Linked DNA regions of Caenorhabditis elegans. The gene in region 2 interacts genetically with the main gene of each other region. Each region holds a gene or a part of one and is shown on either strand. Other genes may lie near its edges.

Region 1 (5,709 bases), on a different chromosome or scaffold from region 2:
TTTGATTTAGATCTACAATTCTTAGAACCTCCTCCTTTCAACCGATCCTTTCACAAGTAAAGTGCTCCACTCTCGCAAGAAAAGGTTTTGATTTCACGCTCCAATATCAAAACGAAACTTTTTTTAAATACTAAATTACTTATTGAAAACAGATCACTGTAAAACTCTAAGCCACTTTCTGGATAAATAAAATTTCGATCTGAAACATTTTAAGCGTAACTGTGCACTACTTTCGACGGACGTAAAACTGCTCGGATAACTATTTTGATGATTTCCAAGGATTTTAGGGGGTTTATATTTAAGTGAATATCCTGGCAGCTTTTTGAAAGTGTTTTTTTTTTTGATAATATTAAATTTAATCCATCAAGCTCGATCGGAAAAAATCAGACCAAAATTACATTTCCAAGGATTCTAGAATATTTGGCTACTGTAAACACTTTTAAAGTTGACATAAGTCGTTTAAAAGCTGCAAAAAGAAATCTCGAGCAGTTCTAAAGCCCTCAAAAACAATGTAAAAATACACAGAAAAAGTTTAAAATCTAAATTTTTAAATAAAAAATTTTAAAACTCGTTTTGATGTTTTAGAGTAAAATAAAAACCTTTCTCTATCAACAAAATTGATCACACGCAAATTGGAGATTAGGATTTTGGCAAAGAAAGAAGCTAAGTTCTGGATGAACATATACGTGGTGGAGCTCCCATACAAGTGAGTACACTATCGACCCAATGCATCGGATTATTCAAATGAGCCTGAAACCAAACAGGCGATCGGAGGACGGTTGAACGACGATAGTGTTCTCCCCAACCTTTGCAGAACGAAACACGAACTGTGCACATTCGTGAGAGACAGTAGACGTCTGAAATGTTGGAAGAAAAAAAATGTAGCTGACTAGAAGGTTTGAGAATTCGTATTCTCCGAAAGTTGCATCGGTAAAAACTATACACCAAAAAATGTCAAAAACTTTTTATAAATTATTTTTAGTTGACAATTTTGATATATCGCACAATAGCCGTACTTTGGACGAAAAGTAATATGATATAATAGAAATTACTAATTCACTCTCACCTTGATATGTCTTCTCAGCTGCTGTTCTCAGCTGTTTGGAGAATAATCTCATGTCAAAAACTTTCATAGTTCCAGTTGGAGGCAACTTTGATACAGTATTCAATTGGAAACCATTCTTCATATTTGCACCGATTGACTGTACAAAAACAGGAATATTGCACAAATTCTCTACATAGACTTCACCAGCTAACAAGTAAAATCGAACACCCTTTCCAATGAGACCACGAACTTCGGCCGTTTGTGGAGAGCGGTTTGGATTGTTGTACCAACCAAGCGAGAAACGGCTGTAATGATGTTATTTTGATATTTACTTGAATTTATGTTTTAGTTCAGTGTACACTAGTGAATGTAGTTAAAATTCAGATGCGTGTAAGTTCTAGACCAGGGCTTCTGTCAATGATACAAACCTTCTGGTTTCTGAGTCAGTGCGACTAGCTGTAAATCCATCGATCAGGCAGTGATGCCCTTCTACATCGGCTTTCTCTCCAATCATCGTTCCTTCTTCATAATAAATTAATTTCAGCCAACTCGGCGACTCTTCATATTCTACACATTCATATATTCCAGCCTGTCGTGACAGATCTCCAAGTTCTAATGCCGAAGATCGATAGAGTGGTCGAGGTTCAATTGGTGTGATAGGCCGTCCATCTGCATACGTTGGCTTTCGGTTTCCATTGTTCTCTGATGAAAAATTCTCGGAATGCATGATGTCACTAACTTCGGAATCATCCATCATTTCTTGATCCAGACTTATTGTATCATTTCCGTTTGGAATAAACTCTCGAGGAGAAGCTGCATGACTGTAAATTTAAAGTTTTATAGATCTAAACTAATATTTCAATTTTTTCCAATATTCAACAGTTTCGTCGGCCCGACCGCCAAATTTAATTTTTTTTTCAACCTTTAGGTCGAATTTCGAATTCTACTTTCAGTTTAGCCAGTTCTTTAGATTGTTGAATCAGTATTGTAAAAACAAAAAAATTCCAAAAAAGTGAAATTCGTACCTAGCTGGAGATGAGAGTCCAGATCTATAATATCCGGGTTCCTCGTCGTCTTGTCGATTACTTTGTTGCAGTAACGATGCGAAAGATGATCCTAATGACATCGTGGTAGAGCTACACGGACTTCCATCAAAAGAGCCAAAATTTCCGTAATTCATATATTGAAAATCTCCGTTTTCAGCTGCATATCGATCATAGAGAAGCTGAAATTTTTATTTTTGAATGTGAGGGGGTGACAGTGGATGTTTTGTAGAAATACGTGCAAATATTTCAGTCAACGTTTTTGGTAAGTTTGCAAATTTCCAAAATTTCTAAAGAAAAAAAAAGATTAATTGCAACTTATTTACTGGATTTTGCATTTTGGAAAGAGTTCAAAAAGGGATATCATCTCTCAACAAACCTTAATTTCATCTCCTCTCATCGTCACATTTGGCACATCCCAACTTGCAACCACCTGTTCCTCTTTCAAATCCTTTTGATTCCAATCATCCAGTGCATCCTCAGTCCGAATCGGAGGTTCACCGTAATCCAATTCCTTATTTACAATAATTGGTGGAACTTGGCACGTCGGTAGTTCAACCCATCGATAATGATACGGATTCAGACAAACATTCCGACTATGGGAATTGAATGCATGTCGACACGTTAATATTGATTTCACTTGAGATTCATATCGAATAACCGGAAATCTGAATGCTCTCAAGACACACATGATAGCTCGTCCAAAGTTTCCAATGAGTTTCTCATTGTGTGCAGGACAGCATCGTGTTTTTGGATCACCTTTAATAACGGCATCGTAGAAAGCTTCAAAGCACTGGTGTTTTTTAGCTACTCTAGAGAGTAATCGGGTAACTTTGAGAGCCCAGTAGATTGTTCCCTAAAAAATAGTTGAGGATAGCTTGACACTTCAAATAGGGCAATTTTAAGGATTTGAATTTCTTAGGAAAAGTTTACTATAACAAAATTTAAAAAACAAGATATGGGCTTTTCTCTTTTCCTGTAATTTTCTCTTTATTTTTTTTTTGGATCTTTTCGAGTCTCCAACATACATTAAAACCTTTTGTCGTAAATATCCTTTCAGTTTCTTTAAGTATTACTATTTTTGAAAAAAAATTGTTTCCTGTTTTAAAAGAAAAGGCTAATTTGAGAGACACATTCTAAAATTAGAAAACGTATAAGTTAATGTTTATGTAGGTTGATTCTAAATATTTTAAAATAAAAATTCGCTAATATGTCTGGACATTTGATGTTTGATCAAGATACGGTATCTCTCAACTCTGCTCTTTTTTAAAGTTTCTTGTTCACTTACTTGCTCGCCGGCTGGCCTAGAATATGAAATTTAAAATTTGCAGATGGCTTTTTAATTTTTAAAAGTAGCCAGCGAGACTATTTGTGTTGAAAATTCAAAAAAAAAGTTTCAAATCTTCAAAAACATACATCTCCTTCAGTGATAATAGTTTCTTCTAACACTTTTTGAGCCATTGCCTCAAGTCTGGGATCAGTAGGTTCTGGTGAAGGAAAATCGTCCATTTTCGTAGTTTTAAAACTGAAATTTCGAAGAATTAAAAAAAATATGGGAGGAGATGTTAGGCTAGAATAAAATCCAAAAAAATGGGCCGAGCTTAAAAAGCAACGACCACAAAAAAGGACTGATTTGGGATAAAGAATAATAAATAGTACAGATGATTTTATATATGAAATTAATATTTTTCGTTGTGCATTGCCGAAATTCAAAAAAAATTTGAATCAGAAAACAGAATTATATCCAAAATGATAATAGAACCTTCTGGTAAGTCATAAGAGTCAGGTGAGCTACTCAAATGGGCGGAGTTTCAATATCTACATAGAAAGGCGAAATGAAAGAATTATGAAATTCAAGAACTCGGAATGAAAACTGGTATGAACGTGTAAAAAATGATAAGAAACAACAGTTTGTGATAAGATTTTTGTGTTGATCAGAATCGTCATCACCTATAAAATCAAGGAAAAATAGAGAGAGAAATGAAGAAAAATGAGAGGAAGTTTTCATTTGATTTATTCAACTTTTAAATGGATTCGAAGTTTTTTCGATATCAGGAACGCGGTTCCAAAATGATCGAAAATCTAGATATTTACCTGAATCTTGATTTTGTTTTATACAGAATTTTTCTGAACTCAATGAAGCCGATGACTCCTAATTAATTTATTCAAGTTTCGTTCATTTAGATATGACAAGGCATCACGAAGATCTCAAGACTCACCCGGCTTCTGATACGTGACCTAGAAATAGTTATAACTCGGCCAGCAATTTATCAAAAGCAAAAAAGTTGGGAGGAAAGTATAATTTCATCTTTTGAAATCGTTTCTCTTAAATTTTAGCAAATGTCCATTTTTAGAATTTCTTTGACTATTTTGAGTTTTTATTTTAAAAAAAAGTCCATTAATAGAAACTAACATAAGTACTACTAAGAAGGCGTCATATTGTTATTTTTGTTTCAGATGGATGTACGTCACTACTTTTTATTGAGGTGCTCTCATGAGGAACCAGAATAAATAAACTATTTTATAACACACTGTACCATTTCCAATTGTTTAAGAAATTAAAAAAATAGAATAGAACTCACAGAAAATCAGTTTTTTTCTGAATCTGGCGGCGAAAAAAGCCAAGATATGGACGGAACCTAATTTTGGGGTGTTCTCTAAGCAAATTTTGAACATTGATTTCGAATACTGAATGTTAGAAGAACGCCAAATTGACGGCGAATAGATTAGGAAAAAAAGGTTTTCAAAACAGTAATAATGTATTTATAAATTCTATAGAAGTATGACATTCTGAGAATATTATAGAAAAAGAGATTTCGTATTATTATTATTATCAAATCATTCTGTGAATCTTCGTATCATATGACTTACTATTAAACAACCAAAATGAGCTGAACCTAAAGCCTTGAAGACCACGAAGTGACCACAGATTAAATACTGGAGGAAGAAACAAAACAAGTAAATAATCATAACAATTTATCTATAAAATCCTTTCAAAAGTTGAAGTAAACAACATCCTTTGAGATATCATGATTAAAAAGAATGAATAATGTTTCTAAATTTGTATAATCCTCTTCCTCTTTTATATTATTTTTATGATTTCTTCTGACTTTGAAGAGAAACAAAATCGGATTCAGATAAATTTCGAAAATTCTTGATTAACTCGGATTAAATGTCTCCTGACAATTGCACAACGAGCAAAACAGATGAAGGGTAGAAGAAGAAAGAGAATTCGTAAGTAAAGAGAATCGAGAAGAGAATAGAAACTGACATAAAAAGTTAGAAGGTTTTATGATTAACATATATCGCATGTTTCTTCGTGTATCGAGAACAGTTTTTTCTCTCTTTCAAATGGAATTTTGAGAGCGAGAAAATTGGCAAATATTATTATTTTTCGTACATGTGAATAGTTAAGAGCTCTCTCCTATAAGAGTATATTTAACTCGACAGGAGGGGTTACTGTACCCATGTACATATTTCTGCGTTGCGTGGCCGCGAATGTGAAAAAACTCGGCCACATTCATGAAAATTTTAATTAAAGGTTTAAATTAAATCACTCATATGGTCAAATTGGCGAACATCATAGTTAACATTTTCAAAATTTGCTATACGTTTTCGTAT
Region 2 (4,227 bases):
TTGCATGCTTTACTAATAGAAGATATACGGTATCATTCCAAAGGTATCAGGCAACAAATGTTACAATAGATACGAAAATACTTTATTTCTGTAGTTTAACATGTTCTCGATAGGACGCTGAAGCATGACAATAAACGTGTGGTCAGTACATTTTCTCCTCAGAAGCAAATTGTGTTCCCTTTCTACAACACAAAAATCTGAGCACGCAAATGAAAACGTAAAGAATTACTACAAAAATTATAAGAACAAAAGCAATAACATCAAGATTATAATAAATAATTGTATTTAATCTTGATCCTTCCACGTGTAACTCTTCCAAAACTCCATGATCAATTGCAAATTGTGTCCATTTTGTAAGGCGTTCTTCTGGACTGAATGGATTGTCTCTCATCATTTTTCCAATTCTTATCGCATTTTTTTTGTAACTTGGAGTGTTTTCATGACGTTATTTGATTTACATAACTGTTTGAAATGAGGATATGTCGTGTAAAATCATTAAATTGAATCTTGTTGGATTCAAAGATTTGAAGCTCGGTGATATGATTATTTAAAAAAAAGTTATTTGGATGCCGTATTCGAAGTAAATTATTTCAAGCAATGTTATTGTGAAAAAAAAGAAAAAAAATTGTGTCATATATACAGAGAACTGATGTCAAAGTTACGCATTCGATGTCTACTTTCTCTTGCAACACTGTCCATTTCCACATGGAGAATAGTTTTGCTGGCACGAGCAGGAGTTGACTGATTGTGTCTGGCATGGCATCTGGGCTGGTTGAGCAGCAGAACAGGATTGAGAGCAAGATTGGGTGCAAGCTGGAGCACATTGTTGCATTGGTTGTTGCTGCTGAACGCATTGCTGTTGGCATGATTGCTGGCATTGTGGTTCACATTGTGCAGATTGGGAGACTGAAGCTTCCAGAATGATTGTGACAACTTGTGGAGCAGCAGTAGTGGCAACTGGAGCTTGGCATGCAGATTGGCATTGCTGGCATTGTGGAGCAGATGGTTGCTGGCACTGTGGAGTACATTGTTGTTGGCACTGTTGAGTTTGTTGGCACGAAGTCTGACATTGTTGGCAAGCTGGTGCAGATTGCTGTTGACATTGTGGAGCACACTGTTGCTGACAAACTGGAGCAGCTTGTTGGCAGGTATTCTGGCACTGCTGGCACTGTGGAGCTGATGGTTGTTGGCATTGTGGAGCACACTGTTGTTGGCATTGTGGAACTGCTTGCTGGCAGGTGGTCTGGCATTGCTGGGTGCATTGCTGATTGCACTGTTGGGCTGGAACTTGTTGTTGAACACATTGTTGTTGGCATGATTGCTGGCATTGAGGAACACACTGAGCAGAGATTTCCATGTTAATCTTGATTATTTGTGGAGCGGCAGTAGTGGTTGGAGCACATTGTTGAACACATTGTTGCTGACATTGTGGCTGACATTGTTGAATTGGTTGAGTTTGAACACATTGCTGTTGGCACTGTTGTTGGCATTGTGGCACGCATTGAACTGGAGCTGGAGTCTGGACAACACAGGATTGTTCACAGGCTGGCATGCAGGATGGTTGACATTGAACTGGAGCTGGAGTAGTTGGAGTATAACAGGAAGAAGTCTGACAGCTTTGTTGGCATGTAGATTGACATTGACTAACAGATGGAGCAGATTGACATTGGTTCTGGCAAGACTGCTGACAAGCTGGGGCACATTGAGAAGCTTGAATTTGGTAGGTTTGTTGCTGAACTGGTTGGGCACATGAACAGGATTTCTGGACTGGAGCAGTGTTCTGACAGGAACAACTGTACTGTTGTGGTTGAGTATAGGTGGTTCGTTGGCAAGAGCAACTTGGTTGAACTCTTGGAGCACAGCCACAGGATTGGCGTTTATCGCGAATTGTTGTTGCCTGAAAATTATATGGTATTGTAAGATAAATATAATTATTAATGTATTTTACAACAGTGATTCGTAAGTGATAAGAAACGTACTTCGGCAAGTAGAACGCTAGAAGCAATAAGAGCTGCAATTGCGATAAAGCGCATTGTTAATATGCTTGAAGAGCTGCTAGACGGCAACTGATGTCCTTTTGTCAACCTTTCAGACTTTTATACCAACCTTCTCCTACACTTTTTCACTAACCATCGAACACATACCGGAAAGTTGCTTCCCACTTATCAGACTCTATCCATCAACCGGCTCCATGACGAGCGCAAACATAGCAATGGAGGCATAGCAAATGATCCGAAGAACACGTGTGCCGTCTCATGGTTTTACACACTATTTTTTGGGAGCACGGAGAGTTGCAAAGATTGAAAAAAGGTTGGGTGCGCGTTCCGTCGAATGGAATGTGCTGATACGGTGTGTGTTTGACCGAAACGAGTTTCTGCTTAACTATATGTACCAAAGTTATCGTTTACCTTTTTAGGTACTGCTGGTAAATATTTGTCTTTTACATTTTGAGATGAACATTTGATTTCACAAGTACACTTTAAGTTTATCGACTTTCAAGACCACTCATTACGACATAAATAAAACTACTTTTTCCCTGTTCGCGCACTTATCATTTTGCTCACTAAGCTTCCATCAAAGTGTTGATCTCCTCCGCATCATTTTTTACATTAAGATAAATAGGCGGGAATTCAGGGTTTATGTTCTTTGGTTAACCATACAGTGTGAGTATAAAAGGCCTGGAAACTAGAGAAAATCATCTGTTCCAATCCTTTCGAACCGTATCATGCGCTTCTTCGCAATTGCAGCTCTTCTTGTTTCAAGCTGTTTCCTTATTGAGGTATAATGGCCATCTAATAGTATTGTTGAGCCAAATGTTCATTTTAAATAGTTGTTGAACAGGGCTGAGCGGCGATCCAAAAAAATCGGCTAAGTACCCAAATTTAACAAATATTTGTTTTTCTTGAGCATTGCTTGCAGACATAAGATTATATATTCCACGATTTCAGTCGACCACGATTGACCACGATTTCAGTCAAATTTCACAAAAATCATTTCCAGGCAACAACAATTCGCGATAAACGCCAATCCTGTGGCTGTGCTCCAAGAGTTCAACCAAGTTGCTCTTGCCAACGAACCACCTATACTCAACCACAACAGTACAGTTGTTCCTGTCAGAACACTGCTCCAGTCCAGAAATCCTGTTCATGTGCCCAACCAGTTCAGCAACAAACCTACCAAATTCAAGCTTCTCAATGTGCCCCAGCTTGTCAGCAGTCTTGCCAGAACCAATGTCAATCTGCTCCATCTGTTAGTCAATGTCAATCTACATGCCAACAAAGCTGTCAGACTTCTTCCTGTTATACTCCAACTACTCCAGCTCCAGTTCAATGTCAACCATCCTGCATGCCAGCCTGTGAACAATCCTGTGTTGTCCAGACTCCAGCTGCAGTTCAATGCGTGCCACAATGCCAACAACAGTGCCAACAGCAATGTGTTCAAACTCAACCAATTCAACAATGTCAGCCACAATGTCAGCAACAATGTGTTCAACAATGTGCTCCAACCACTACTGCCGCTCCACAAATAATCAAGATTAACATGGAAATCTCTGCTCAGTGTGTTCCTCAATGCCAGCAATCATGCCAACAACAATGTGTTCAACAACAAGTTCCAGCCCAACAGTGCAATCAGCAATGCACCCAGCAATGCCAGACCACCTGCCAGCAAGCAGTTCCACAATGCCAACAACAGTGTGCTCCACAATGCCAACAACCATCAGCTCCACAGTGCCAGCAGTGCCAGAATACCTGCCAACAAGCTGCTCCAGTTTGTCAGCAACAGTGTGCTCCACAATGTCAACAGCAATCTGCACCAGCTTGCCAACAATGTCAGACTTCGTGCCAACAAACTCAACAGTGCCAACAACAATGTACTCCACAGTGCCAGCAACCATCTGCTCCACAATGCCAGCAATGCCAATCTGCATGCCAAGCTCCAGTTGCCACTACTGCTGCTCCACAAGCTGTCACAATCATTCTGGAAGCTTCAGTCTCCCAATCTGCACAATGTGAACCACAATGCCAGCAATCATGCCAACAGCAATGCGTTCAGCAGCAACAACCAATGCAACAATGTGCTCCAGCTTGCACCCAATCATGCTCTCAATCCTGTTCTGCTGCTCAACCAGCCCAGATGCCATGCCAGACACAATCAGTCAACTCCTGCTCGTGCCAGCAAAACTATTCTCCATGTGGAAATGGACAGTGTTGCAAGAGAAAGTAGACA

The links.
Region 1: of abu-1 (region 2) and daf-8, changing one enhances a phenotype caused by changing the other (phenotypic enhancement), as found in Caenorhabditis elegans (one study listed by BioGRID).

What each region holds. Positions count from the first base shown.
Region 1 is NC_003279.8:8,583,893-8,589,601, forward strand, and holds daf-8 (Smad protein daf-8), read right to left. Parts: upstream 3,616-5,709; 5' UTR 3,598-3,615; coding exon 3,505-3,597; intron 2,945-3,504; coding exon 2,468-2,944; intron 2,271-2,467; coding exon 2,071-2,270; intron 1,867-2,070; coding exon 1,474-1,866; intron 1,351-1,473; coding exon 1,067-1,350; intron 858-1,066; coding exon 664-857; 3' UTR 532-663; downstream 1-531. UniProt on the Caenorhabditis elegans protein: Probably a receptor-regulated SMAD (R-SMAD) that is an intracellular signal transducer and transcriptional modulator activated by TGF-beta-like daf-7 signaling.
Region 2 is NC_003283.11:10,379,753-10,383,979, forward strand, and holds abu-1 (Activated in Blocked Unfolded protein response), read right to left. Parts: upstream 2,075-4,227; 5' UTR 2,034-2,074; coding exon 1,980-2,033; intron 1,898-1,979; coding exon 674-1,897; 3' UTR 588-673; downstream 1-587. Other genes in the region: pqn-2 (Prion-like-(Q/N-rich)-domain-bearing protein), read left to right, coding at 2,726-2,779, 3,001-4,224.